Linked DNA regions of Oreochromis niloticus. The protein of the gene in region 2 binds, or shares a complex with, the protein of the main gene of each other region. Links are inferred from orthologs where the notes say so. Each region holds a gene or a part of one and is shown on either strand. Other genes may lie near its edges. The genes, in order: mettl3, virma, rbm15 and zc3h13.

The links.
Region 1: virma (region 2) and mettl3 share a complex: the UniProt entries of both Homo sapiens proteins name them as parts of the WMM complex. The link is inferred for Oreochromis niloticus from reciprocal best matches to the Homo sapiens genes VIRMA and METTL3.
Region 3: virma (region 2) and rbm15 share a complex: the UniProt entries of both Homo sapiens proteins name them as parts of the WMM complex. The link is inferred for Oreochromis niloticus from reciprocal best matches to the Homo sapiens genes VIRMA and RBM15.
Region 4: the proteins of virma (region 2) and zc3h13 are in contact, whole or in part, in a cryo-EM structure (PDB 7VF2), measured with the Homo sapiens proteins. The link is inferred for Oreochromis niloticus from reciprocal best matches to the Homo sapiens genes VIRMA and ZC3H13. Residues at the interface, in NP_056311.2 of Homo sapiens: Leu521, Ser529, Tyr531, Gln532, Leu535, Glu536, Ile538, Leu539, Leu540, Asp541, Val544, Val547, Thr548, Ser551, Leu554, Gln555, His558, Glu561, Val562, Ser564, Glu565, Lys567, Gly570, Asp571, Ala574, Glu575, Thr577, Ser578, Glu621, Glu625; in NP_001317494.1 of Homo sapiens: Pro1492, Leu1493, Asp1494, Val1495, Ile1496, Asp1497, Val1498, Asp1499, Trp1500, Ser1501, Gly1502, His1507, Leu1518, Lys1520, Phe1521, Pro1523, Val1526, Met1527, Arg1529, Val1530, Gly1531, Ile1532, Ser1533, Lys1535, Leu1536, Ala1537, Gly1538, Leu1541, Lys1544, Val1545.

The regions. Positions count from the first base shown.
Region 1 is NC_031967.2:19,740,398-19,748,400, forward strand, and holds the start of mettl3 (N(6)-adenosine-methyltransferase subunit METTL3), read right to left. Parts: upstream 3,017-8,003; 5' UTR 2,820-3,016; coding exon 2,717-2,819; intron 1,530-2,716; coding exon 1,339-1,529; intron 1,247-1,338; coding exon 782-1,246; intron 689-781; coding exon 513-688; intron 1-512. Other genes in the region: ttc5 (tetratricopeptide repeat protein 5), read left to right, coding at 3,360-3,422, 5,173-5,305, 5,388-5,599, 6,795-6,945, 7,033-7,124, 7,236-7,439. UniProt on the Homo sapiens protein: The METTL3-METTL14 heterodimer forms a N6-methyltransferase complex that methylates adenosine residues at the N(6) position of some RNAs and regulates various processes such as the circadian clock, differentiation of embryonic and hematopoietic stem cells, cortical neurogenesis, response to DNA damage, differentiation of T-cells and primary miRNA processing.
Region 2 is NC_031976.2:20,073,950-20,081,120, forward strand, and holds the start of virma (protein virilizer homolog), read right to left. Parts: upstream 3,012-7,171; 5' UTR 2,937-3,011; coding exon 2,874-2,936; intron 2,412-2,873; coding exon 2,299-2,411; intron 1-2,298. Other genes in the region: esrp1 (epithelial splicing regulatory protein 1), read left to right, coding at 3,990-4,121, 4,513-4,671, 4,790-4,906, 5,270-5,381, 6,568-6,711, 7,084-7,138. UniProt on the Homo sapiens protein: Associated component of the WMM complex, a complex that mediates N6-methyladenosine (m6A) methylation of RNAs, a modification that plays a role in the efficiency of mRNA splicing and RNA processing.
Region 3 is NC_031984.2:21,081,506-21,088,854, forward strand, and holds the start of rbm15 (RNA-binding protein 15), read right to left. Parts: upstream 3,009-7,349; 5' UTR 2,830-3,008; coding exon 262-2,829; 3' UTR 1-261. Other genes in the region: alx3 (homeobox protein aristaless-like 3), read right to left, coding at 6,076-6,426, 6,577-6,702, 6,850-7,124. UniProt on the Homo sapiens protein: RNA-binding protein that acts as a key regulator of N6-methyladenosine (m6A) methylation of RNAs, thereby regulating different processes, such as hematopoietic cell homeostasis, alternative splicing of mRNAs and X chromosome inactivation mediated by Xist RNA.
Region 4 is NC_031986.2:11,841,472-11,848,818, reverse strand, and holds the start of zc3h13 (zinc finger CCCH domain-containing protein 13), read right to left. Parts: upstream 3,006-7,347; 5' UTR 2,825-3,005; intron 2,197-2,824; 5' UTR 2,188-2,196; coding exon 2,020-2,187; intron 1,885-2,019; coding exon 1,781-1,884; intron 1,681-1,780; coding exon 1,566-1,680; intron 1,437-1,565; coding exon 1,325-1,436; intron 1,182-1,324; coding exon 1,015-1,181; intron 868-1,014; coding exon 719-867; intron 641-718; coding exon 440-640; intron 293-439; coding exon 125-292; intron 1-124. UniProt on the Homo sapiens protein: Associated component of the WMM complex, a complex that mediates N6-methyladenosine (m6A) methylation of RNAs, a modification that plays a role in the efficiency of mRNA splicing and RNA processing.

The DNA.
Region 1 (8,003 bases), on a different chromosome or scaffold from region 2:
TTCGAAGTGGGCAGAGAATCCCTCTTTATGTAGGACAGTTTTCCAAACTGTATCTGTTGGATCACTTAAAATGATGCAAAATAAAACTTGTGGTGCAGCACTTTAGACATGTGTATGAGCAGAACACTCTCAAAATGTGGTGTATCAAATATAGAGTATTTAGCATAATCACAGTGCCACCTGCAGGCCAAAGAGAGTATTACTCAAACACTGATGGACATCTGCTATACTTAAAAAAGAAAGCGATCAATGGGTAAATGTACTTAGCAGGTCAGTTAGAATTTCCCATTCATATAATCTGTAATATTTATGATACGCTCTTTTCTAGCTGCAGCACAGCAGCCTGTATTCTCATGATTTGGACAATCCAGGACTGTCATGGAAATAAACTTTTAGTCTTGTTAGTTTATTATCATGTCTGCTGTGTTTGATTTCAGGTTTTATTTGTTGGTAGCAGTTTAATCTGTGGGGCTGTCTGTAACAGTGTCAGACCTTGTGAAGCAAATACAGACCGAAAGTGTAACTTGGTGCACGGCTGAGGCGTGTCTCCAGCACGAACACATTCTTCTTTGGTCCCGTGATCGCAGAACTCTTGGACCTGAGCTCGGCCGCGGGATCTGAACTTTTCCACGATGGACTGCTCCTTGGCTGTGCTGGCGTTCAGCAGCTCCAGAATCTCTCGGCTTAACTGGATACGAAAGAGAGTTGCACGATAGCTGCAGCAGTAATGACAACTCCATTTTTAAGTGGTTACAAAACACCCCAAAAAACCCTCTGTTACCTTCTTGCTCTGCTGCTCCTTGGTGGACTGTTGGTTCAGGAGGCTTTCGATCTCCATGTCCAAATGCGACGACTGGCTTTTACTGCTCCTGCCCTTCTTCTCGGTCCCGCTCCCTGACGCCGAAGGCCCCGGCTCTGAGGAGGAGGCGGGTGTCAGCGATGTGGTTGACGAGTGAGGAGGAGAAGCAGAGCTCTGAAGCGAGGGCGAGAAGCCTGCAGCCCTTTTGCTGTGCATTTGGTCTTCTGCTTTTCTCTTGACTCCAGTTCTCTGGGCTCCAGCTACAGATCCAATCATAGCCCAAAGTTTTGTGTGGTCCACAGCTACAACCACTGTCGGGGTAGACGTGGAGGAGGAAGTTGTAGAAGAAGAAGGAGCTGAGGTGGGCTCTCGGACCTCGATGAGCTCCTGAGCAGAGAATTTAAGCAGCAGGCTCTGGATGCAGCCGTGACTAACGGCTGTTTCTGACTGTGACGAGAAGCAAACACAACAGAGATGTCAAAAATAAACCCACATCACTGAGTTTAAGGGTAACACGAGCAATGGAGACAAAAACTCACACTGTTGAGTTCATTTGTGATGGAAAGGGAGTCTGTCGGCAGTGTGAGACTCAGATCAGACAGATATCCCAGCAGCCTCTTCTCCAGTTCGGGGTCTGGTGGTTTTTCTGTTTCCTCCTGTGAGGTGGACGGAACTGCCGGGGCAGGGCTGTCACTCCTGACTGTGGACCCGTCTGCGCTGCCGCCACCATCTGAGGGGACAACAAAGGATGAAGCATCGAGTTCAGAGAAAATTGTCAATATTCCTCATTTGAAAGGCCTTAAAATGTTTCATAACTTTTAGATAAAAAGGTTAAGTAATTATAAAAATTGTTGTTTAATTTAATGGTACAAGAATCATCCTTTGTTTGTTGTTGTTTGTTACTCCTTTTTGTTTTGAGGAATTAGGAAAATCTTCATAGTGAAACAGCAGAACTGCTTTAAAGTTTTTCAGCTCATATCGATTACTGCCAGCGGTAAATGTCCTCTTCCTTTCCAGTGCTCGTACTGTTGATATACACTGCAACATCCCCAGCATGGCATCAAAGCAAATGAGCTTAGGCAGCTTTATAGCAAATCACTACAACTGCTGGATACTCTGAGCTAATTTACTGGTTGTCTCCTGTAACAAAATACCTGACCGATCAATAATATAGATAGTAATTTTTTGTTGCATCACATTTAGCAAGAACGAACACAATATTTTGTTAGTTTCCAGCAACAACCGAGTAAAACCCCACCTTCATTTTATAAAACTCAGTTCCCCTTTCGCCAGCGAAGGCAAATCCGCTCAATTAAATCAGCTACTAAATGAATGGACTGGAGTGCATTTCTGTGCTTTTCAAGATTTACCAAGCACTTCAATCACATCTAAACACAATCATTTTTATCCTATACACTAAAGCGCTTCATCACCCAAAGCAAAAGACAAGAGAGTTGAAGAAGAGAGCGCCGGCAGGATGGGGAGGATGGCGTGTGCAGTGAGCTAACTTTGATCTCAGCTGAGAGGGGACCGCCTGATGTTTATTTACATCTTGCCACACCGTCAGTAACACCAGCTCTTACCATACTTTCTCCTACAGAGTGATATGGTTGAAAGGTGTAGTTCAGACATAGTAATAACTATATTACGTTCTTTAATTAAACCACTCACGGCAAGGTTAGTGGATGTTTTCCCCCTTCTTTCCTTGTTTCTAGAAAGCTTTTCTATTTGTAATTTGGCTCTTAGAGCACCAGAGGAAAACGATATCGCCATAACACGGCAGCTTACACAGTTTAAATGGCTGCAAAGCGCTGCAGACCTGAGTTAAGACACGTAAAGTTAAATGTATGGGGGGGGGGAACTGCCCTTTTGGTATCAATACCAGCGTTAGCTGGGCACTGCCCGGCCTGAACCTACCGGCGGACAGCTGAGCAGGGTCTTTCCGCCGTCGCTGCAGCCTCTCCCGCAGAGAGTCCAGCTGCTTCTTGTGCGCCTGGATGTTGCTCCATGTGTCCGACATGACGAGCTGGACTCAGCGGCAGAAAAAACACCAATACTGGCCTCACCGAGCACCGAGTGTCCGGGAAACTAAACAAAAGTTGAATCCAGTCCACCCTTGGAGGGAAGCGGGTACGGTGCAACACGAAAATGTGTGTCCGGTAGCATCTTAATTGGGATTAAACGTTCCGCTTTCGTAGTGATTTGTCGTGGTTTTAGGATGGAGGGTATATGATGTAAAATATAATACATATATATCTCAATCTACGAAGGTGGCATGTTGGTAACTAAATCATTCACCACGTTAAACTTCACCTGTTAATTTTCCAGGCGGATTCGTTTTGAGTACGGACTACTTCAATTTCCGGCGTCGCTGAAATTAAAAGCCCGTTTCCTCTGTGCTGAAACAAGACTGCACTCGCGATGCTTCCTTGAAGAAATTACCTTTCTGTGGCAGTAGACATACCGTATAGCCCAATATCTAATAGTTATTAAGTAACTTGGTGCAGTTTGCTCCAGCTCGCTGTCAGATTTTGCTGCTGCTCCATGCTCTAACGCAAAGATGGCGGAAGAGGAGAAGAGTGGTGAGGCTGTGGAAAACAAAGACGAGCTGCAGATTATGAAGGTAACTCTTCTCAGCGGAATCACACATTTATTCAAATGCACCGACTGTCTCCAGCCTTTGTGCCCAGCTGGCTTCCCGTGAGTCTCCAGAAAGAGTCGTTGCTACAACAGCTGGCTGCAGCTGTCACGCCGAAGGACAGATTTTTTTTAGTACTAGCTTTAAGATTTGCTGGTGTGTCAGGTGCAGGAGTGCCACACTTACCCTTCTGTAGCTAGATTGGCCTCAGATGTTTCACACCACAGATTTAAACCACCAGATAACGGGCTGATATTCGCGCTTTGTTTGGATCTGTGCGCTTCTTGCTGAGTCACGACATTGTCAGGGTGCCTCGGGTTTAGTGCACCAAGGATGAGGAGTGCAGCTGTACTGATTTGTTCTCTGTAGGCCCCTCGATGTTTCATGCCTTATAATGTTACAAAAACGAAGTCTTTCACTCTGGGAGTAGTTTGTAGCAGAAGTTTACTCAGGAGTGAAGTATGGTTAAATTAGAAAATGAGAAAAAAAACTAACAGTGAACATGCTGTAACACAATACTGCACAAAAATCTTGTACTAATATTTTCAGTGGTCTTGAGCAATAGTTTTCCAGGCTTTAAGGAGGTCTTTCAAAATGTTTCTTTTGAAATTGGCTCATTTTTCACCCCTTTCCAGTCCAGTCCTTATACCTCACCATTTTCATAGGAATACTGTTGTTTGTTTGTTTGTTTATATTACTCCAAAGTGAAATATGAATCATCCAAGCCTGAAAATGCTGTTATGTCTACACATAACGGACATGTTGGCAAAAAACCAATTTTTAATTGTATCTTTAGGGACTTTTTTTTTTTACCAGCAGCTTGTCACAAAAACGCATAATTTGTTCCAACTTCTTTAGTTGTATCTATGGAAAATGCGAAAGATAACACAGGTTGACAGACAGAAAACAGTATTTTTGCACAAATGGGTGATTCCCAAAGAGATATTAGCGCAAAACTATGCTATATCTCATGTATGGTGTGCAGTGTGTCCTTAAGAAAAATAATTAAACTGAACAAGTGGTGGACAAAAGAAGAAGTGACAGGCTTAAAAAATGTCTACAGTAGATGGAACAGTACCTGTCCTGTCCTTAAGAAATAGGAAAATGCGGTATGCCCACTTACACAACAACTGGACTGAAAATCAGGTCTGATGGAGTGATGAACCCAAATTTTACATTTGACAGTGATTTTTGGTCCAAATCATTGTTAGTATGTACTGATGAGAGCCAGTGATGTTGAAGATCTTGTCAAAATTAGTGAAATTCTGAACACAGATAAGTACCGTCATATTTTGATCCATGTGGAAAGAGTTCAGGGGTTTAGATCATCTTCACAGAGAACAGAACAAAAGGCAGCCAACATCCAAAGAAGAGCTTTGGATGTCATTCAAGAAGCGACGAGAACTATTCCCAAAGACTCCTTTTTTTTTTTTTTTTTTTTTTGCCTTTGTATACTGTATTTCCATGTATGTTTATTAATTTTAATACATCTCTGTACACCTGTTTTCTAACCTAATGTAAAGAAATTTGCAGCGTCTAAAGACTTTTGCACAGAACATTCCCAAGTGTAGTATAAACTGTTAGTACTAGTTAAATTATTAGTTTACTCAGGTAGTTTTACTCCTCAGCAGTTTTTGTTGATGTGTTGTGTCTCAGTGTTGTACTACAGATGTGGTTGAGAGAAATGTGTGTTTGCTCTATTTTTATGTCCGTTTCATGTCTTCTCTCCTGACAGGAGCTGGTGGATGATCTGTATAAATTCAGAGATTGTTATTTTGAGACTCACAGTGTGGAGGATGCAGGACGGAAACACAGCGACGTAGCAGAAGAGATGGCACGGACGCTGAAGCAGCTGGAGGAAAAAGAAGGTAAGAGTCTCTTTAAATGTAAAAAAAGTGAGTTAATTTGCAGGCTTTCATTCACACCTGCTCCGTTTACAACTTCCAACAGACGCTTTTAAACACAAAGCTGAGTTCTTGCTGCAAAAGGGACGATGTCTGAACGTGGCTCCAGACTTCAGTGCTGCAGCAGAGGAGTGTCTGTCCCGCGCGGTGAAGCTGCAGCCTGGCCTGGTGGAGGGCTGGAACACGTTAGGGGAGCAGTACTGGAAAAAAGGAGATCTGATCGGTGCCAAAAACTGCTTCACTGGTGCCTTACAGCAGGTAATTAACTTAATATGACCCAAGTTTCCAGTTACTGGTGAAACAATCTCCACATTTCTAATCATTGAACCCAAACCAGGAAACCCAAAATCCACTTCAAATTGGTTTGTGTTCAGCTGATCTCTGTTCAGGCTGGCAGATCTGTTAGATTCTGATTATATTACCTCATTATCTCCATAGTTGTTGGTCTGAAGCTTTAATCGCGACCATAGTTAGTTATTTGAACAATATGTTCAGCTCTTTGGACGTGTGTGATGGGTAGTTGTTGACTTTGGTAAAGCTGGAAAGTTATTCAGACTCATCCATTCACACCACAAGAATCAGTAATACAAAAACAAGACCTTTACATACTTTGGTATGCAAAGAAAATATTTAATTACTTCACTTTTGTGTTCTGTTTAATATTGTAATGAACATAATGCTGTGCACAGGCTGCAAAAGCAGCCTCTGTGCTAAAAACATGTAGCCATATTGTCAAATTACAAAACTACCACGTTTTTAAAATGCCAAACTGTCACGTTTATTCAGTTCATTTTTATTTATATAGTGCCAAATCACTCAAGGTGCTTTATATTAAAGACCCTGCAATAATACAGCGAAAACCCCAACAGTCAGATGCCCCCCCCCCCCCCCCCCCCCTTTGAGCAAGCACTTGGCGACAGTGGGAAGAAAAAACTCCCTTTTAACAGGAAGAAACCCCTGGCAGATCCAGACTCAGGCAGGAGCAGCCATCTGCTGTGACCTGTGGGGGATGAGGGGAGGGAAACTGGATAAAAGTGACGCTGTGGAAGAGAGCCAGAGATTAATAATGAAAACTGATTGATACAATACTGGTGTATAAGCACATTGTAAGTGAAAAGCAGGGACTGAAGAAGAAATGCTCAGTGAATCATGCGAAGTTTAAGCCTAAGCTTATTTCAGCATAACTAAGGGATTGTTCAGGGTCACCTGATCCAGCTATGCTTAACTATAAGCTAATAAATGACAAGTAAGCCAGCAGTCTGTGAGCAAAGAGCTCTAAAAGAGCTCTAATGGGGCCCACTTTTCCAATCCCTGTCAGTACTTTCACTGAATTGTTTGGCAACAATATCCAGTGAATTTAAAAGCTGTTTCTGAGCATTAATCCAGATAACATCTCCTATCCTTTCTGTTAGGATTCATTCATGTTAGTGTGTTTTGTTCTCCACCTCTGTAGAGCAAGAACAAAGTATCTCTTCGCAACCTGTCCATGGTGCTGAGGCAGCTGCCCGCGGCTGACAACGACGCTCACGGCAAGCAGGTGCTGGAAAGCGTGGACATGGCCCGGCAGGCCGTGCAGCTGGACGTGAAGGATGGGACGTCCTGGTGTGAGTGAAGACAGACGGTGCTCTTTGTTAGAGATGCTAAAGACTGTTGGGACATTAATTCATGTTGTTCTGCTTTTGTTTTTACAGATATCCTGGGAAATGCCTATGTGTCGCTGTTTTTCACCTGTGGACAGAATCCACAGCTATCTCAACAAGCTCTAAGTGCCTACACACAATCTGTGAGTACAGACACGAACAGCTACACACCAGAGGGAATATCAATAAATAATAAAATAAATAAATAATCAACATGGGCATCTGTATTTTATTCCCGTTTTCCCCCTGTGTAGGAGACGGTGGATCGAGCTGCCTCTTGTTACCCGGAGCTGCATTTCAACAGATCCACGCTGTTCCAGTACGAGGAGATGTACGGGTCTGCGCTCGCTGGCTACAGTCGAGCGGCCGAGCTCGACCCCGGCTGGAAGGAGCCACCAGAGAGAGAGAAGCAGCTGCTGGAATATTTAGAGAAAGTGACCGAACTCCTACAGAACAAGGTAGGAGAGTCTTTACAAAAGCACCGACATACTCCCTATGTCTGTTTGTATGTCCTTATACAAAAACATACATAAGAGAAGTCGGTGAAAATCATGCTGTGTTTTGGTTGTGCTACGAGTCCCCGAGGTGGTTTATCAGCCACCATCAGATTTAATATTATCAATGACTAAATAAGCTCTGACATGCTGATGCTGGAAAATACCCATTGATACTCCAAAATGTTAATGATTGACGTGTAATCAGTGGCAGCAAAGTGATTTCTGTCTAGAGTAAAACTCTTTATAATGTGTCTTGCTCACACGGGTGATCTGAACTATGTAGCTCTCAACTCCTGTCATAAAATAATAGCTACACAAATCATGTCATTGAGTACTGATTTTTAAAAAAAGAAGATAAATAGATTTAACTGAAGCGGTTTAACGTAATTCAAGTATTTTAAGATCACATAATTTCTTTAATGTCATCATCTTTTTATTACTCATGTTGTCTTCATTGTTATAGTCGTAATTATGCATATGAGCAGCACATGACCTTTGAGCCTGTTTGCTTCCACTGTTATAAAT
Region 2 (7,171 bases):
TTTATAGGGGGGGTTAGAATATTAGAAAAGCCACCACCACCACCGTCAGCAATGATCCCAGTATAAAAATGAAACTGATTTCAACTTTTATGACTATCAACAAAAAATGGATCACAGTAGCTATGATAAAAGTAGCTTTTATGGCAGAACTTTGGACCAGACGTTACTTATACATCATGGATTTCCAGAAAATAAATGCACTTTAACATAATATCAATACTACCACAATGCATACCAATGCTAGAGGACTGTGCATTCTTGAGTCTGTTCATTCAGCTAAATTACATCACTCAGCAGGTTCGGGGGGAATTGGGACCTGTTCAACAATGGAGCTCAGGTATCAAATGCACACACTTCTTTATTCACACAAGCTTCTCAATTTCCCCCAGACACACACATTTATCTCAGGTATCCATAGCAAAAAGAGAAAAAAAAAAAAGAAAAAAAAAAAGCAACCCCCAAAACATCTCCACAGGCAATATATCATTAGCAATAAGACCCCAGGTTTTTTGCAACTCAAAACCAATTCAACGTTTGCTTTTCTTATATAATTCTGATTTCTAGCATTGGGACAAAGGTGACACCATTGAGTATTTCCTCTTATCCACTAGCACCTACTCGACTTGACTCAGTTTTAGGGTTTTCCATTAAGTGGTAATACCAGGTACATTTTAGTACTTGGCCAGGGTTCCAAACGACTTGAGTCCAGCTAAAAACCTGACCTTAACAGACTCCATGTCATTGATTGGCCAGAGAGGGATATCACCAGATTAGTCATGAGTGAGACACCTTCACAAGAATCAAACATGCCATTTTTAAAACTCAGCAACGAGGGAAATGCAAACAAACCAACGCCGTGCTCCAACAACGAGGTTCAGATGTTTTTGTGCTAAAGGGAGCTTGAACACTGTTGTGTTTGTGGCACGTACAAATGATATCAATCGACTTTTGGGCCACATTTCTATCACGGGCCCACCCACATTGAGGTGGTACACAGTTATAATGACAAAAGACTAAAACTAAGTAGAATAGAACCCGAATAGAGCAGAATAGAGTGAGTCCAGTCAAGTCAAGCAGGTGCTAGTGGAAAAGAGGTATTTGTTATACCAAAATTAAAATCAGAATTACAGACCGAATGGGAGCACTGTTTAATGAACTCTTTCCGAATGTTCTCCCTCAGACACTTACATCAACATTACAGTATCCCAGAAACCAAATTCATAATGCACAACACTGTGTGTAAAATGTCAAGCACGGCTATCAACCATGTCAGCTCTTTCACTGAAAATGGACTGGTAATTAAATGGCACCTTTCTACCCTAACTGGAAATTTGTGCTTTAGCGGGAAACGTATGCCGTGACCTGACAATAACCTCCCTAGAAACGTAACTAAATGTTTGGTCAGCGCAACCCACAACAATTGTGACTGGCCTGTTCAGTACCACTGATCCCTCCTGTGAATTTCTGGCTACTTTTGCACCACAGTTTTTGAATTTAGCGGTGACAGAATAACAATCGTCACTTCAGTATAAGAAAAAATTACCATAGCAGAAATATAAAGACTCAAAAATGTCAGCAAATTCCTGGAGGGAGATTACCAAAAGTATCGGAATGGACTTGAGGGAAGGTATAAAGGAGTGGAGCAACTACAGAGACAAATGCACCCCCTCCCCTCAAAAAGCTTTAAAAAAGAACCCAAACAAATTCACATCATTTCATTTATTTCTATCAGCTGGCAACACATATAAAACACAGGGACACCATCACAAGGTAATTAACAAGTAATGCACCAGCACAAGCTTCAATGTCAGCATTGACATCAGTTATTTATGTAGAGTGTTGTAAACTCTACAAAGATTCCCCATAGAAGTCTGAATCATACTTAACCCATGACTCAAAGTGCTTTAGCCTATGGCTTTAAGCACTTTCTAACTATCATGCACACACCAATGGATTCATCTGAGGCAATCATTGTTCTGAAATGAAACCTTATCAGTTTGATGCAGAAGTTAATAGTTTCTCTGCACAACTAATAGGTGAAATGGTCCAATGAGTCCTATAAAACTCAGAGTGTGTTTTGCTTTACTAGGAGACTGCATTGATGAGGACGGTAGCCACACTGAAATCATGTATGGTGTTTGCCTTTTAAAGGTACAGTATCTCAATTAGTACTGAGACAACTGTGCGATATACATGCTGGCAACGCTGTTAGATTAGAATGCATTCAGCCTAACTGGGTGTAGCAATAAGATCCATGAGTGTGTGCATGAGTTTTCATGCGGGCATGATGAATCTTACCCAAACGCTCTGCTGTCAGGAAGGTTACTGTGAGCTTTGATCCCTGGAGGAATGACCCGCACCTCTGTGATCAGCACCCCGCAGGGAAAGCGCACCACGTCTATGTTGGTTAACTGAAACAAAGGAGACATGATTACTGATACAAACAATGGTGAAATGCATAATTTATAGCCCCCGGCATCCGCAGAAGTCACTTTTACTCCCGCTTCGTGGTAAACATGCTTAGCCACTCTACATATTGGGGATACTGTAATGTTGATGTAGCATTAGCCACCTGGCTAACCATCAATCAAACTGTGCAAGGACACAAAAGACGGCAACTCTTTTAGCTGCTAATGTATGAGGATTGCATTGACACCGAAAACACACGTTTTGTATAATCGGACAGCTGTGCAGTAATCGCCGCTTAAAACCAGGATAATGACATCACACCGCTGCTAATGTTAGCTAACAGCGTTAGCCTGGAAGTTAAGCATCCTTCCTCAAAACTCCTGAATGCGCTTAAAACTAACTTTTAATGCAGGTAGTCATGGGGTAAACATAAAAGAGTGTGTTTAAGTGTTAAAAAACACTACCTCTGCACTCTGATGCTTAAACGTATCCAGAAAAAGAAGCTCCGTTGAAGGGTCCCCCGCCATCGCTCCAGTGCTATCGGCCGGGCCAGGGGTAAACTTCCGGATTAAAGTGAATACTTCCGGAGTAAGCAACCCACCCCCAACAACCCTGAAGCAAATAAATAAAATTAAAAATAACAACAATAACAACAGCAACAACAACAACAATAGTAGTAGTAGTAGTAGTGGTAATAGTTGTTGTTGTTATGAGAAATATAGTTGGAAAATTTATATTTGTTTAGGAGAAAAAAAGTTGACAAGCGTTTTCTGGAATACTTTTGTTGTTGTAAGAAATTTTATTTTTTATTTAAAAAAATTTAAATCAATTACTCAGTTTATATTTTCATTGAAGCAAAATATCACGAAGTCATAATTTAATAACTTTATGATTTAATAACATGATAGCTTCACTTGGTCTGTATTAGTATTTTTAAGTTTTTTTTTAACTGTTTCATTTTTACACGGATTTCACGGAATTTTTTTCCGTATTTCAGCATAAAATGCGAAATGTTCTCACGAGCATTTTTTCTTCTTCTGCTTCTTTTTCTTCTTTTACTTCTTCTTCTTGTCAATTCCTTTTTTTAAGACTTGAATGCGATTTGTTGAATTGTTATGGAGACATTTATTACATTATTTTAATAATTAACTGCATAGTAACTAAAATATAACACATTTATTATTAATATTATGTTATTATTTATTTTTGTCGTTGTTGTTATATATTAATAACTATTTATTACCTTTTCTGTCCTGCGTGAGCTGCCACGTACTAAACTTTGAACCACCTGAAAGAGGGAGGGGCCAGGTGAAGGGGTCACGTGGTCGCACAGGTAGCTTCACTACAAAAGCGGTGAGCGTTCAGCCATTGCTTCGCGATGGTGACTGCGGGAGGCTTCACATAAAATCTCACACGCGACGAAACTTTGGATTTACGGAACCCACCTTTGCGCTCAGGTGTCAGAGTAAAGGTGTTTCTACCTCCCGCGTCCCGCTTGCGTTTCACATCCCGCTGATCTTGAGTCCCTTTTAGTCTCGTTTAGTATTAGATTAGTTTTCTGTGGTCTGTTTTAGATTCAGATGACGGCGCAGGTAGACTACCTGGTGGTGGTTTTCACCGCCACATCTGGCGCGAGCGGAGATCTCCTGGGGTCTGACGAGAAGGAGCTCGTGCAGTTGGTTTGGCAGCTCGTGGATGTAAAGAACAAAAAGGTAACAACTCACTTGTAGGCTGCTTGATCTTTTTTGCTAATCATCGAGACTCCAAAGCAGGAAATGTGGTGTTCAAAGGAGTGGACAGGTGGACTGCAATACATAATGTCAGACCTCTATTAACAGCAAGAAAGGTGTGCCAGGGGGATTTTTGTGGGATTCCTGCTTACACACACCTGTTCAGAAATCATTATTCTCTTTAATTACAAAAAACCTTCTCCCTTACATGGAAGACGTTTAAATTGATCCTTTCCTGCATTCCACTGTGATAATATCTATTTAGCAAACACATATATTTCATGCTCGTTTCATTATATTGTTCCAAAGCCTCTGAGTTTCTAGCTAGGCTTGCTGTTTCAAGGCTGACTTGTTTTTTTCCTCTCTGAACCAGTTGGGCAAGGTGAATGAGCTCCTCATAAAGCCTGACCTCTCAGACTCGACAGAAGAAAAAGAGGAGGAGGATGTGGTGGAGGAGAGCGTGGAACAGGAGAATGGATCTGGAGCAGACTGTGTGTACAAAGCACCGAGCATTGATAAAGCTTTAAACATGGTAATGTCTTCAAAGTGGCCAGAAATCCATTAATAGGCCATTTATTGATTACTAATTACCGTTACAGCGCTGGTTAAAGCAGCTGTATTAAAGTTCATACCTCTAAATGTTTTTACAGTTTCATCTGCAACTGACAAATGAGGTGAACAGCGCGGGCGCAGGCACATCGGTGTGTTTGTGTACAGACGGGCAGCTCCACATCCGCCAAGTGATTCACCCCGAGGCAGCGAGCAAGGTGAGCAAGCCGGGGCGGATGTTTCGCTCGCTCGCTGCTGCGGGAGCCTTCGACGCTCTCAGAGGGATGTGTTGTGTCAGCATCGCACTGCCCGCTGAACTTTAATGTTAACACTGAAAGTTGATCTACAGGAGAAGCCACTATGGTGACACACGCCCATGCGCATACCGTACACTCATGCAGATAAAAGACAGGCACACAATGAGGCTGATGAAATTTCTCCCAAGTGTTTTAAAACTGTGTGTTAATGATAGAAGAAGTAGGCAGTGCATGCTCTTGTGGCCTGTGCAAACATGAGTATCAGAGCAATAAAAAGAGCAGCTGCTGATGGGCCTTTCACTCACACAATTTATTCCTCTCTAGAACATCCTGGTCCCAGACTCTTTCTACTCTTTCTTTGACCTTCGGAAGGAGTTCAAGAAGCACTTCCCCGCTCCTGACCTCAAAGCTCTGAATGTCCACACCATGGCAGAGTGTATCCTTTTAACACGTCACCTGTTTACATTAACATTTCATGTCCTGTTACCCGTTTATGCCGTCATGGATTTCGAGACACTTGTTATTTTGCTTGATTGATTCGATCCGATTGATTGGTTCTTTCTCATACTGTGCGTTGCATTACCCTCAAAAATCCACAACACATGTGCATTGAGCTGTTGGCTGTAGGGATAAAGGTTTTGAAATGCAAATAAGGAAAGAGTGGCAGCACCTTACTAAGCCCTTAGTGAAAGAGTGTGTGTTTACCCAACAGGACCAACCCCATACACACACACACACACACACACAAACGCACACACACACACACACACACACACACACACACACACAAACAAACGCACACACAGGTACAGGAAGAAAAACACATGTGTATCTCTAACCTTGTCTTCTGCTGTTCTGTTTTCACTTTTTTCATTTTTTCACACACCTGTCTATTCTGTCATGATTTGGGAAAAAACAGATCAGACTTTTGGAGACAGATCAGACTTAGTTTTAAAAAAATTATTAAACCAGCAACAGAAATTATTTGGGAGCAGGCAAATGACGCTGCTGCTACACAACCGGATCTTCTTTTGGAGAGGACAGAGGGATTTAGTGCTGGCCTCTCTAAATGCAGATGAACATCCTGGTTTGTGTGATCCAGGTAAAAAAGCTTACTTGATTGCAGATGTGAATCGTGGAGGAGGGTTACAGGAAGGCAGGCAGGAATCTAGAGAGAGGTAAGGCTGGCGGTGGTGGAGCATGGGCAGCCAGGTGAGTTTACCTGGTGGTTTGAGCAGAGCTCCTCGGGAATGAGGATAAGTCGTAAGCAGAATTTGGAGCAAGAGATTAGAGGGCAAATAGAGAAGCGAGGTTAACTAGAACTTAACAACAAAGAGGGCCGAGGGCCTGGTTACGACCATGATCGGTGTAGCGATCTTGCGGATATCCTGCCTTTTAATACTTCAGGTTGATGAGGCGATTCAGAGCAGGTGTAGAAGAAGGCTGAGAGAGTGGGCTCCACTCAAAGCATACAACTCCAACTAAACTGAAAATGGACTTAGAAAATGAGAGAGAGGAAAAAAAGAAGAAAACAAACCTCCAATCCTGCTGGACCATGACGTATTCATGATTAATAACACTGTCGCTCCCTTGCTTGGGCTCCTTAACCACCTCCTCCTCAGCTCTTGGTATACCTGTTGATGTGCCCACCATGTGGGACCCCTCTGCCACACTGGATCCATCGGTCCCTTTACCTGCAGAAGTAGCCACAAAGCAGCTTCAGCTTATGTCCAGCGTTGTCCTGGCACTGCTATCCGAGCCATTTTGTAAGTACCGTGTACATTACCGAGTAACATTAGCACGACACGTCAGGTAAATCGATTTAACTACTGATGAGTTCCAAAACTGTTACTTTAAGTAAGACCCTGCTGTGAACTAAAATAGAAACTTAATTAGAACCTCTCTTGAGGATAACTGAAATGTTAATTTTTCAAAAAAAATCATTAAAAAAATTGATGATCCAAGATTTTGGAGTGCCACTTTTGAGCGTGCCATTTAACAAACCATTAATTAAGATGAAAAGAAATGTAAGGTCTTACCTGATTTAGACTTCAGCCATTTGCTTTGCCTTTTAAAAACTGTCTCAGCTTGATTACTGTGTGTGTTATCATGGTGACTCTGTCGCTTTGCTGTTGCAGGCCACACGTTTTCTAACCCAGAGAGAGTTAATGAGAAGTTCGAGAGCGGCACTTGGTGAGCAACATTTATTAAAGATACACGTTGTTT
Region 3 (7,349 bases), on a different chromosome or scaffold from region 2:
CTTTACAGAATTTTGGCTAAATGACTGCAGATTTATAATTGTGACTGACACCTCTGAACAGTAACTTCAGAAACACACATACTTTTAGCTTTGCAGGGGGGCACTGTTTGTCCTTTAAGTGGCTTACATGGTAACATAACACTCAATAACCATACTAGTGTACTCCATGATGCAGAACACACAGCATGCAATAGTTACTGACATACAGCAGATTTTTTTTTTTTTTTTTTATTCCATTTGAATTTAGTGTAGTTTGTTTCTTTAAGATGCTCCGCGGACCACAATCATGACTAGATAGTCCTCTTCACTTTTTGCCAGAGCTTTGGCAGAGGAATCCAGGAACTGCTGGGAGAAATCACAGGGAGGGAAAGCATGAAGAACCCCTGTGTTGTCTTTATCTCTGCTTCCTCCCACAGGCAGGCTGATGACTCCAGCTGCTTGTTTTTGGTTGAGGTAGGACACCAGGTTGCGAAGCGGCCGCTGAGTTGAAGCTGCAGGGTCGGATGAAGATGTATCCTCTGTGGTGCCGGGGACCGCCAACAGGATTGCGTAGCCGCCCGGACCTGCCACCTTGATGCGCCGAGACACCTCGTCGAGCTTGGGCTGGTCCAGCCGGAGTCGCTGCGTGATCTTTAGCTCGCTCACTCGCCTTCCTGTAGCGCTGTCGACAAGCAGGTCGCTGGCGACGTTGTGGTCTCCCTCCAGCAGGTGCATGTTGGCTGGAAAGTTGCTGTTCTTCAACAATAGCATACCATGCCACGCCAAACTGAGTTTGTTGCCATCCGGCTTGGATGGCTGGCCTCCCTTTGAGCTGCTCTCAGAACGTTCTCTCTTGGCTGGTCCTTTGCCACCATCGATTGCCTTGCGCTTGCGCTCTCCAACTGCTGAAATAATGTTGCTTGAAAGTCCCTTATCAGACAGACTCTGGCTTTTGGGCCTTCGGTCTGACACACCTCTTTCAAGGCTGTTGTGGCGTTCTCTCGCAGGAGAGGCTCTCTCGCCCCGCAGGGGGCGTTCTGAGTCACTAAAGCGCCCTCCATCTCTGCTGCTGCCTCCAGGACTGCCATCTGGAGAAGCACGTCTGCGTCTTACTGTCCTCTCAGTGCTATCAGGGGAGTGGTCTATGTGGCGTCCGTCCTCCAATATGCGCCGCTTTCGCGCAGGCTCTCGCCCCTGCAGCTCTCTTTCCAAAGACCAGGGCTCACGAGTTCGCCTCTCACGGTCCAAATGCTCCAGAGGCTCAAAAGGTGAGGCACGTACCCGCTCACGAATAGCAGGATTGGGCCAGTCAGTTCCAGGAAACAGCTCTCTCTCCCTGAAGTGAAGCGGCGGTGGAGTTCGTTCCCTGACCCTCAGTGGCTCAGGTGTGGCACGGTGGACAAATGACTCAGCCACCATGTCAAATGGTGGTATTGGGAGAGGCTGCAGGAACTGCTGCTGGTAACGATGCTCAGTGTCTGCAAAGTCCACTCTAAGTCTTCTCTCTGGGCCTCCCAGTGGGAAGCCTCTCATGTGTGTGCATGCTGCTTGTGCAGCATCTAAACTTTCATACTGAATATAGGCCCAAGTGTCCCCTTTTCTGTAGTCAATGGTCCTTATAGTGCCAAAGCGATCAAATTCTCTTGCCAAGGCAGCTAAGGGAACCCACGGTCCAAGACCACCCACCCACAGGCGCGTGGTCGGTGTTGCTTTCCCATAGCCTATCTTTATGGGATTGCGGCCCACTATTTTACCAGACATGCTAAGCTTAGCACGATGAGCCATGTCAAGATTCTCAAATTTCAGAAATCCATACGTGCTGGTTTGCCCCCGTGTTGGTCTCTTAATGTCCACTTCTGTTATGACTCCAAACCTGTCAAAAGCCCTCCTGAGGTCTGCTTCTGCAACAGTTATATCCAGATTGCCTAAAAACAACGTCCTATTAGCTCTTTGGTCGTCTTCTGGGGAAATAAAATCCTCTTCCCGGAAAGCTGCCCGTTCTGCAATGAAGGCTGGGCGTGCTCTGGCTTCAAACAGAGCGAACTCCCTATCCCGCTCCAGTTCTCTCGGCAAAGGTGGTGGTGGGGGTGGAGGAAGCCGTCCCAAGGCTAGCTGCTGCAGCCGGTAGTCTCTATATCCCAGCCCGGTGGGCGAGAGGGGTCGCTGCAAATGTCTGTGGCTTTGAGCTGCACCGTACAAGTCTCTCTCCACCGGAGACCGACTTCGCCTCCGGTTGATGTAGACCGCCTCGATTTTCAGCGGCCGGTCGTACAGCACCAGCCGTCCCCTGGCGTGCTTAGCCGCTCTGGCGTCCTCCGGCTTCCTAAAATTTACGAAGGCTATCCGCTCGTCGTTGCTACGACTTATCTTGACGCTCACATCCCCAAATTTTTTAAATTCGTGAAAGAGTCCGTCCTCGATGTCCTCGTCGCTAAGCTGAGTGCCGAGGTCGCTGATTTTGAGCGTTTTGTACTCACTCTCTGTGCTGGGCGGCTGCAGCCGCGGCTCACCCCGGGAGGTGGTCCTCGGTGAGGCTAAATCCAGCGTCAGGCTCAGGTTGTGGTTTTTGCCCACGGAGCTCGCTGCAGCGGCGGCGGCAGCTGCAGACTGACAACTGTGATTATTTCCAGTCCGGCTGTGACCGTCGAAATCTCGGTCTCTTTTTTCCCCGAGGAGACTCCGTCTTGTCGAGCCGCCGTCGCTTTTGGACGAACTGTTTCCATTATTACTCCCACTGGAAACGGACAGAGCCCCCATTTTCTTGCTGGTCGGATGGCATCCTCCCCTGTCTCGAATATCGTCCAGGGCCCGGGAGCGTTTTTTAATCGGCGACCGCTCTTTACCTTTCATTTCGGCCCACTCGGTGTCAACCGTCGGGACACTTGCTCTTCCTTGGTGCGATATTTTCTGCAACTTAATGCAGAAATTTACTGAAGTGAAAAACGGGTTTATTCACTGACCCTGCGGCAAAACAACAACAGTCGCCATTTTGTAAAGATTAGCTCGAAGACCCACCCCTTCATTCTGATTGGTTAGAAAGTGGGTGGGAAACTTTAAAGCGCATGTCAATCACCCAGCGGCAGGCACTATAATTTTATATTTTCTTAATAAATTAAATTGAGTATAAAATAACAAATAAATAAATAAGTTATCGAAATTGTTTGTGTTTGTTTAAATATAAACGTAAATATTACTTTATTTGTATTTTGCATTCCTTTGAAATTTCAGAAAAGCTTTTACCTTATTAAGACACTTGCATTGTCATATTATTTTTTATTCTGTTGAGCTGTATGCTATTCTACTTATTTAAATAAAAGTTAAATAAAAGTGGCCTATTTGTTAGGTCTAAATGGCTGCACCTTAAGGCTTAAGATAAATCTTATTCCTTATATCACAACGCCAGTTTCTGCTGTCCATCCACTGTTAACTGTAGTATAATACCGTAGGCAGGTTTCTTAAGAATATTATTCATTTCGTTTTTCCCGGGAGGTGAGATGACTTAATTGCGGTGTGGAGGCGAACAGATAATCCTCTTATCTTCAATTAGAGCCAATACCACAAGATGGCAGTATTGAACAGAAAGTGCAGCAGCCCACTCCCCTTGGCATTGAGTGGAAAGGGCCTTTCCTGGCAACTATATGAACAAATCAAGCTGCTGATATTGACTAATGTCTGCTACAGTGTAGGCCACATGTAGCAGTAGCTATTACAGCCTTTTAAAGATATAAGTTCAAAGCATCACACTACAACCTACTAATGTTTGCTCTTTAATGTGTCACAGTAGTTCGCCATTTTTTACAAGTCGTGCTTTGGCTCAAATCGAGCACTGCTGTTTGCACTTCTGCACAAGCATTTTATATTCTGAATATTTGATTTTCTCGGATGAACTGCCAAAACATTTTTCCTAGTGATAAAATTTTGGAAGCAGCCTTGACAAACTGCTGAAACTGAGCCAATCACACAGTGCACTACTTTGTTTACCTTAGTGGGATATGTTAAATAAAAGTAGCCTATCTGTTGTGTCTCAATAGCTGCACCTTGAAGCCAAGATAAATCTTGTTGAGATCAAAGCTCAGAGCAGTGGCCAGCAGTCAGCTTTACCGATTTTAATGAGCCTTAAATCATATTTTTTAGTCCAGTAATGAGGCCGAGGGTGTACTAGCTTCCAGGCTCTTGTGACAGTCTACAGCTAGCAACCCTGACATACTGAGTGATGATTAGCTCTAGCATTGTGCAGCAATGACTCATCATTTTTCATTTCTTTCTGAAAAAATCATAGAGGCTCTTTGGATCCTGATACATTGATTCAACACAGATCAAAGCCAATGCAACAGCATGATAACTTTAATGAGAGCTTGATGAAAACCTATGGCCCCCTATAGTGAAATGACATCACTGTACGTTCACTCTGAGACATTTTTGAAGTAGAATAAGCCAAACTATGATCATGAGCCCCTGAGTTAATCTATTACAGCTGTTCTGACTGTTTTAAGGAATTAAAATATCAAAATCAGTAAACCACCGAGCTTCCTCTTTTGTTTACGAGTGGATTTGATTAACCTGCTCACACTGTAAAAATAAATATCAAAATTAAGCTCTGATCCGCCATCTGCTATTTCTCCAGCTTTCCTAAACACGGCAATCTCCTCAATCCCTTATCCCTTCTGACAGGTCTTCTTATCTTCTCCTCTTAATCTGGGAATTAATCAGGGGGACTATGTGACTGCAGTGAGAGCTGCCGTCTCCCAGGGACTGGCTGGAATTTGAAGCTGTGGGTGTGGAAAGTGTTTCTGATGGCTTTCTGCATTCTTCTATTGGAACCACATGTTAGTGGCTCTCAGGAAACTCCGGCACAGACTTAGGGAAAGGCAGCTAATCCGCCCCTGCATCGCCGTCAAGGCGAAGCAGGCAAAGACAAAGGGGAGCCAATATATTCCCCTGAAAGCCATGCACACTCCCGGGGAGTGAGTTCAGCTTGGCGGGGCTTTGTCCCGCAGTGAAACTCTTTTTCTCAATTCACATTCAGTTCTCAGTCTCACAGATTGAAATGTTTGCCAGTTTGACATGAATGCACTGGCATTTAGTAATTCACACCATATGGGATGTACCGTGCAATTCAGTGTTTCCTTGACAATAACATAAATTGTTTGGGGAGATTTTTCTGAAAACAATTATTAGCACGGCATTCAGGATAATGTGAGTATATCTCTGTTACATTCTGCTTGTACACATGGATGCAGAAGAAACTTGACCTTGACCTGGCCTCAGCATACAAAATATGCTCTGAGCCACAGTAATCGATTAAACACCTCACATTGTAGGACATGCATGACAAATACATAATCATCTGTGGTTATCTACTTTATTATCAGTAGTGAAGTGTGGTCACCAGGTTAGTTTTTCCATTATGAACCTGCCACTTTCCCCTGATGCATGGAGTGTAAGTTGAAGTGAAGCCTAGCGGGCTGCACATTCACTCTGTACACTTTCCGCACAGCAGAAACCTTTTTTTTTATGGGATCCACAGCCTGTAAAGTATTTTTACCTCATAACCACATTCCCAGTTATATTTGCATTGCAAACGTGGCTATCGTTTTGCAAAAGAGTCAAGGCTAAAATAATTATAACTGAGATGGTTTTTGTTCATTTTGAAAAAAGAAAAAACAAAGAAAAAGAAAATCCCTCTTCTCCAAAATAGTTTGCTGCTGAATAAGACAGTTAAATTTACATGGAGCCCTTTATTACTCACGCACAACACAACAGACATTAAAAGGGATTAATATGATACATTTTTTACATGCTTAAATAATTTTCCTCTTTGGTCTCAGCACTGTGATGCAAAATAAGAACTCTAAACAAGAACGTTCGTATTAATAGGTTGGGTTTCGTGCAAGATTCTTAAGTTGCCCTTATTGTTTGCAAAATGCCTGTTCCAACATTTCTGAATAGCAACACGTCTCCAAGTTGATTTATATAAATGTTTGGAGGAAATATTCGAGTCAAATCCACAAATGTACATCTGGGATCGTGTATGGGTGACGACTGTAATATGCTGCGGCTCAGTCAGTGCATAATGGGGAGCTGGCGTTATTATGGTCATGTTGGCCAGGAGAGGATGCTGCCTGGTTCTTTGGCTTTCATCCTCAGTGCCACCAGGCCTGTTGGCTTGTATTCGGTCTCGGGGCCCTCGATGGAAGGTGACCCGAGGCCTCCTGGGAAGCCGTGGAGAGAATAGAGACTGTTGATGCCTGGATGGTGAGGCGGGTGATGGTGATGGTGCGGGTGGCTGGAGGATGTGGGCATGCCCATGAAGCCCTGCAGATTACTGTGGGGGTGAGGGTACGGACTCATGCAGGATGAGGGGATAGAGTCAGCCCCTAGGACACAGCCTGCACCTGAACCACCGCCTCCTCCTGAAGCTGCCCCCGGCCACAGATTGCCCTGCATCTGGATACGGAGAAATTTAGAACAATATCAGCAAAAGTTTTAATATTGTTCAGTCCTGTAACGTGAAAAAAATGCAATTTCTCAGCAAGTTCTATAATGTTAAGTTTACTACTACAACATGCATGCCATGTGAGAGCTACATTGGCCTACCTGGTATGCGTCATGGCGAGGAAGAAGAGAAATGTCATATGTAGCAGCAAAGTGGTTGCGAACCTCCTGGATCTTCCCATAGCGTTCTCGTTTCCTCCATTTGGCTCTGCGATTTTGGAACCAAACCTTTTAAAAAATAAAATATATTATAACACAAAAAAGTATAACAGTAAATTTCCAGAAGACAATTTTTTGTTTGGGCTTTATACTTTCTTCTGATTACATTTAGAAAATAAAAAAGGTGTCAACTGTGATGGAGTTGCCCTGGCATACCTGAACCCGAGCCTCAGTGAGCTCCGTCCGCAGCGCCAGCTGCTCCCGGGCGTACACGTCGGGGTAGTGTGTCTTTTGAAACACTTTCTCCAGCTCCTCAAGCTGAAATGTGCTGAAGGTCGTGCGATTACGTCGCTTCTTGTTTTTGCCAGATAAGTCAATGGAGTCAGCGATAGAATCTCCTTGTAAACCACTGCCTGGCTCTTTGAGCTTGCCACAACAGTCTGTGCCAATCCCAGGATAGCCCATGGTTTTCGGAGTGCCTTTGTCCCGAACTGAAGCAAGGCAGGAAAATGCAAAGGAAAAGTTACACATCCACCAAAATAAATATACAATCGTATACAAATTCTAACAGTTTTTTCTAAGTCAATCTGCGTCAATATACACTGTAATTTAATCATTTGAGACTATCATTGCCTGAAGATACAGCTTAAATTTATTTTTATGGAATGCTAAATTTGATTTCGATTTTATAATTGTTTAAGTATAAACCTCTACAA
Region 4 (7,347 bases), on a different chromosome or scaffold from region 2:
TGACAAAACGTTATTTCCTCTTGGCTGTCATGTCCAAATATTTACCCAATTGTGAAGAAAGAAGTACAGGTGAGTGATCCTGCAATGTTTACAGCCCTGGAAAAAAAGGTCTCTGTGTGCTCACCTGTGAGGAGGGGATGCCAAGATAGAAGCCTTATGGGAGGAAGCTTTAGGAGAGGTAGATTTCTTCCTGGCTGAGGGCGACACACCCCTGGAGGGAGATGACACGCTACCAGAACGCTCCTCTGATGTCACAGACCTCTTGGCCTTGTGGGAACTGTCTGATCTATCCCTTCAAACAAAAAGGTGACATTATAAAGAGCGAGCACTGGAAGTTGAAAAGGATAACTCAGGATAACTGTGAATATGACTCAACAAATTAAAAACATATGCACATACGTACGCTGCATGATGCACATGCACTAAGTCCCCACTTTACCTGCGTTTTTCCTTCTTCTCTTTGTGTTTTTCTGCATCTCGTCCACGATCTTTACCCTCCTTCTGCTTCTCGTCAGACTTCTCCTTATTTTTGTGCTTGCCTTTGTGTTTTTTCCCGACCACGGGCAGGTCCAGAGGGACCGGTGGAAGGGGACTGGGGGTACGGGGCCCTTTCTTCTTGCTGTGGCTTCCTTTCGAAGACCTGGTTAAAGAATGATGGAAGATATGCATCAGAACCTCATCAAATCTGTAGGTCTCATATTTTGTTTTTCTTCCCTACCTGGTAGTTTCTGAAACAGGTGAGGATACTGATGCCTTCTTTTCTTTCTTCCCCGAGCCCAGCCCTTTGTTTCCCCGTTTATGTTTTGGCGAGCCACTGGACTTTCTGGATGAGGGTGAATCTTTGGAGCTTAACTGCTCAGGGGAAGCCTGAAGGATAAATGTGACAGATCGAGCTAAAATTCAGATGACAATCACCCTTGCAGACAGCTACTTCAACGGAGGAAGTGAGCTGTGCTAATACTTTTGAAATCCAGAGGTCACGTATTGAAATCATCAAAGCATCTCATCCCTTACCTTTGGCAAGGCTGTGGTTCTGGATTTCGTCGGAGTCTCGTCTTTCTTGATGACAATTTCTTCTCTCTTCTCCAAGTTTTCCTGCTCTAATTTCATTAGTTCACGCTGAATCTTCTGACGCTTCATCTCTAGGGAAAGCTCATAGTCGTAATCACCAATATCAGAGTCTGAAAATCAACCAAAAAACCAAAACAAAACAAAACAATAAAATTGAAATGGAGAAGAGCGTTTCAAGCCACAACATCAAAATGGTATTTACAAATAAATGTGTCATTTTCCCTTTAAACTTCATCAAAACAAGACACCGAACCTTCACGATTGGTTTCCCACTCTGTGGGTTCTTCTTCACTGCCTGGGGTACGCTCCTTCGTTATCTTTATATCCTCCTTCTCTCTGTGTCGGCCTCTGGAGGACTCTCTCTGCTACAGCACCACACACAAACAAACCGTTGTGCATCATGTACTAAAATCTCCAAAATGATTTCAAATCGAAACTAGATTCTTCATTCAGAAATGCGTTATTATCAAAGACCAAAAGAGCAGAGGACTCACTCTTACTGTGGGGGACGTGGGCTCATCTAGGTCTCGTTTCAGGTTTTCTGCTTCAACATCCTGTCTTTTATTTTTCATCCTCTCCCGCAGATCACCTGTGGGCCTCTCGGTTGACCTGTTTCATTAACGCAGACATTAGAAAAACACATGCACAAAGGTCGATTTGATTTTAAAAGCAACAATCAATACAAATTCACTAACCGCAGTCATCTTACCGGCTAAAGCTAAATCCTTTGCCTCGTGGCTGAGTTCCATGTGTGTAGCGACAAGTGTTGCCGTAACTGCAATTCCCAGTCTTCAGCCAATTTCTACAGTGACTCTAAAAAAAACAAACAAACAAACAAACAAAAAAACACAGATGAGCCAGGCCAAAGGGGAAACAAAGCACTGTGCCATATTCATTCAAAGACACAGTGACTTGGATCACCCTATCTGACCTCTGGGTTATACATACATCAGCAGCATTACTCCCAGTGCTGGGTCCAAGTCTTTCAAACACACTTGGCCTGCGGGACGGAGCGGCGGGGTTGGTGCTGCTGCTGGTTGTGGTGCTGCTGCTGCTGCTGCTGTCAGATATGGTTTTTGAATTTTCCACTGTTACCTTCCGCCTGATCTTGGACATTCTGCAGGACTGCAAGTATGACAAACAACGCTCAATGAACTGTCTTTAATCATCTGCATGTTTACAACTTGGCACTTTAGAAGCAATGACTTAAAAAAAGCAAAACAAAAAACAAAGCAAGTCTGTCAGGAAACTTTCTCTGCAGTGCGATTCCCTCACACTCCCTGAATTAATTCATTCACTTACAACGGATCTTAAACTGCAACCGAAAACCCAGTTCTCACTGTTACTGTTGCAACCGTTTGATAAGCCCATGGCCTTCCCGGATGCTTTAGTACTCCTCTGCATAATCGAGCATCCAAAACATAAACACATGCAAATATCTGCCTTCCGTGCAGCTGCTCTGTGCTAACTTATAGCGAGCAATAACGCATGCTAGCTTTAAGTAAGCTGAAGTTCCCCGTTAACTACAAGAACAGAGTTCTGTTTACCATCTTTAACTAACCAGGACGCATCTGATATTCAAAAAGCGTCGTAGGTTAACAGTAATTATTCTGCATATCTCATACTAGAATAAAACAAGCGAATGCAGGCTAATGCTAAAGTTAACTGTGTCATGTTTTATCTCAGCGCGGGGCCTATCTTAGCCTGCCCCAGTAACCTGCATGCTAATCTGTAAATGAAAACACGGTCTCACCCAAGATATTTTTTCGGTGTCACACCTACTTTAATCAGGCTGGCGGATTTAGCACTTGTAAAAAAAATTACAAGGCTTATTCTTTAAAAGCAAAGGCAGAAACTGCCCTGGGTGCCTTCATATTGGCGGAGAGTGCGCGTCATAGGTCCTTCTTCTTTTGTGGTTTGTGAAGAAGGAAGTCGACCTCCACGGCGATGCATTACCGCCACCGCCTGTTCATGTGTACAGCTTTTAATTACATTTTCCCCAGGTCATCTGCGGTGGCTCACACACATACACACAAGATATAAATCTTGAAAGATGGCCCCTTTGGACCTAGCTAGCTAAGACTATAACTCGGCTGTCGGGGAAACTTGTTTTGTAAATGTAGCAGAAAAAACATTATATTTCAATACTGTCGAAGCTTTTCAACACAGTCATCTCTGGTGACATCTGGTGGCCAAAAATATGAAGAACAGCTTGAATTTACAAATTAATTAAAGTGTACTGCTTCATTATGACTGCCTACTCTACAGAGTGGAGTTCACAATTCTGTCTGATATTGGTCCACCTTGTGTTGCTTTGAATATGTATCTTTTGGGTGAAAAAATGATGTCTATTTGTTTAATAGATTAATTTCATCAATAAACTTTCCTTATTTAAGCATGTACCGTGGTGTGGTATTATAAATAATATTATATTAGGCCATTTTTCTTATACATATTTTTGACCTGGGAGTAGAATTGTTTGTGAACTGGAAAGGGAAAATGTTTATGAACTTGTTAGGTAAAAACATGATGCATTTAAGGTTATTCTGTTTGGTTTTTATTTAAGAAGAGAATTTGTTCCACTGTGCGATGGCCGAGTCTGTTTCTTTTCTTGGAGATAATTTCTCCTGCTTTAGAGAAAATCTTCTCACATGGAACAGACTGAAGAAGAGGCTGGAGTGCACAGAAACTGCAATGGAAGTTGGTAGAGATGCAGGTATGCGGTCTTCCTGGGTCCCACAGACTGTCACCAAAAAAGAATAAACAAATTAAATTGCTCCACATTTTGTAGAATAGCACTTTAAGATTATTTTAAAAAATAAAATTATGTAATGATGTTTATTATGAAAAGCAGATGTTTTGTTAAGACATTTTACGATTTTCACATTTTCAAATAAAATAAGTAAACCCAAAACAAAGGCAAACAACCAGAACAGAAAGGTGGCAAACTGACCCGATTGGCCAAAATCAACTCAAAATGCTCCCACATGACAGAACCTCCTCTCTTCCTCGCTGGCTCCATATCTCTCAATAGAATGATCAGTAGTTTGCTATCGCTCACCATCAAAACACTCCACAAATCCCGCAAATGATTCACTTCCTTAGGAATCAGGTACCGAAGCAGTGACTTTCTAAATGAAGCTTTGGATGTCACTGATCACGTGACTCTGGCCAAATGAATCAAGTCTCGACACAGTGCTTCTGAAGCAGTGTGCTACAGACCTCCTACTACAATCCTTCTTCCCACCATTAAGCATTAAACAGCCAAAGAACTACAAGGGAAAATAACACGGTCGACAGCTGCCAGGCAGAAAAGGAATCATCAAATGTGATCCAACAGCTAATCTAGATACATTAACTCATTACATTAACATGTCTGTGACCAAGATGAACTTAACATGCCAAATGACACTGAACAGTTGGTGGAATTCACAAGCAATACACACAAGTGTACTATTTTCCACAAAGAAGTCCTTACTACGCCAGCATAAAACGAATTCGTTTGACATTACTCATTGGATTGATCTCACAACAACAGGAAGATCTGAGGAACTCATTGTGTGTTTATAATAGTCTAAATGACTTGTGGAGCCATTTATAAGAAAGTGTGGGGTCAAAAGTTCAAACAATTGTACATAAACACAAATCCCCCCAATGTGTCATTAATTTGCCATACGAGGAAATTAATTAGGGTGGTGAAGAACAATCGATTGGCATGATTGAGCAAGACCTCGTACATTGTCCGCGGCCACAGTAGTCTGGGTAACAACCCAAACTGGAAGCACCAGAGCTTCAGTTTCCCTGGGAGTGCAGTGTTGTTAATCAGCCTGAGGTCATTAGCCATGTTCTGCCTTAGTTGTTCAAGGTGCCAGGTACCACTGAGGTCTGCATTATACCACCGTCCCAGGCTCTTGTTGGAATTGGTCACCCAATCAACACCCTCACGTTAACAGGGACGAAACTGGTGGAAGATCACGTCACAGAGAGTCCCCATGCTCAGCTAATGGAAAGCCTTTCCACAGGCCCAGGGAACATTTATCAATAAAACATATTAAAATACTTCTCTGGATGTAATAAACTAACTAACTTTACCTTTCCTGCTCTCTCTTTTCTCTACATTTCAGGGAGAATTAAACTAAAGATTTGTCATTTGTTCATCAGCTGGTAACAAACCTGCTCAGAGCTCAGCTCCAGACTCAGATTTTGTGCCTTTCAGCGTCTGAAGATGTGTTCGAGTCACTCCACCAGCCGCCTGATTCTTCTGATCTTCCTGGGTGTGATAATGCTCATCTGTGTATCAGATACAGCTTTTGTTTCTGGAGTTTGCTCTGTTCTGAAAGTTCAGTAGCACCAGCTAAACATCTGTTTCTCAAAGTGATCATAAACAGGGGCGGATCTATAATCTCTTGCCACCCCTAGTGCCACCCCAGCTTTTTATATGACAGTATTGTTTATTAAAGTAAGCTAGCATTAACACGTTGAGCCTCGGTACAATGAACATTGCCTATAAATACAAACTTCTGACTGGCAGTGTATATATAGCAATCTATGATTTTCAAATGGTGTCCTGAAATGCCTTACGAATATTTTGCTTTTGGTAGCTTGTTCATTTTATAAAGACTTTTAATGCTGTCAGTGGGGATTTATTCAATAAACATGTTGTTGGCAAAAAAAAAAAAAAAATTAAAAAATAGTAAGTGCATAAATTATTTATATATGCGTTTCCAATGAATTATCTATTGACACACATAATTAATTAATAAATAATGTACTTAGTTGTTTTGTTTTGGCATTCTTGATGCCCCATATGGGAAACACGACATAGTTAACTGAAATAATTAAATGTGCTTTTAATTTAAAGGAAATTATGTTTTAATTAATTAACAATCTAATTACAAAATTATTACTTTAATTCCCATTTGTGATTAATAAATGACACATTTAATTAATTATTTAATGAATGGCTTTTGGCACTCTTGGCATGTCATATTAAACCATTATACACTTTAGTAGTGAAATAACTAAATGTTTTTAAATTGCATGAATTAATAATTTAAATAATGTGATTTTATACATTATTTTAATACCCACAGAAGGTCAGAGTCAACAACCAACCTCTGAAAACCCAGAGGAAGAAAGTCAAAGAAAGTCAGAAACATTGGTGTCGCCTGATGCTAAGAAAATTGAATTTAGCTTTTTTCTAGTAACGAGAATCTTCAGCGAATGCAGCAATTGCACCAAAACACTTTTGGATCGAAACATAATAGTCACTGCTATCAAACATCTGACAGATTTTGTGTATTCTGAAGTGAGATGCGCTCACTGTCTGACAATTCTTAAAAATAACATGGATAAAATAATCAAGGCCACAGCTAAAAGCCTTACTGAGTCGTATAGAAGTCCACACATTTTCTTCTCTTCAGTAATGTTATCAGAATATTCATGTGTTTACAAGACTACTAGACCGAATTTCCCAGAGGAACCCACCCGAGGGATTAATAAAGTTTTATCTTATCTTATCTTACTGTTGACGGTAGCGGCGGCATCACGGGCATCGGCAAAAAAAAGTTGCATGCACCCATGCTGCCCCGACATCATGCCAGCGATTTGGGGGATTAAATGGGCACTGGTCGGTTTTCTATCACCCATATGCGAGGAGTAAGGGCGCCCTCGGTTTGCGACGTGCGCCTTCTGCTTGCGGCACAGGGAGGAGAGGGCGGGGCGGCCGCGGCGGGGGATTCTCTGGCTGGCTGAAGCGGCATCTAATAACCAGCTCGCAAAATAAAACAAAATAAAAACAAACCAACAAACACGAAAACAGCAGACATTATGATACAGACTTATAATTTGCACTTAATGTACCCCTGCATTTGATGTTTTTTAAGTGAGCGCGAGAGCCCTCGGTGCGCCTGCTCGCTGCTGAAGTCAAAGTAAACTTTATTGTCATCTCCGCTACATACAGTCCAGTATGTAGAGAGACGAGACGACGAGGCTCCAGTTACAGCAGTGCAAGAAAACAAAAAATAAATATAAGAAGAGTAAGAAAATAAATATGCGTTTTAGGACCAGGGGTAAAGGGATCAATAACAATTTAAAATTTATAATTTACAGTTTGATGATTTAAAGTCTCACACAACCTGTCAAAAAGCGAGGGGGGCCGGCTGCTTCCAAATAGAGCACATTTCATTCATAATGTTGTAAATCCAAGCCCATTATGTATTCCTGATTTGTTCCTGGGTTGTGCGAAATCCCACAAATAAACCAAAGCGAATCTGT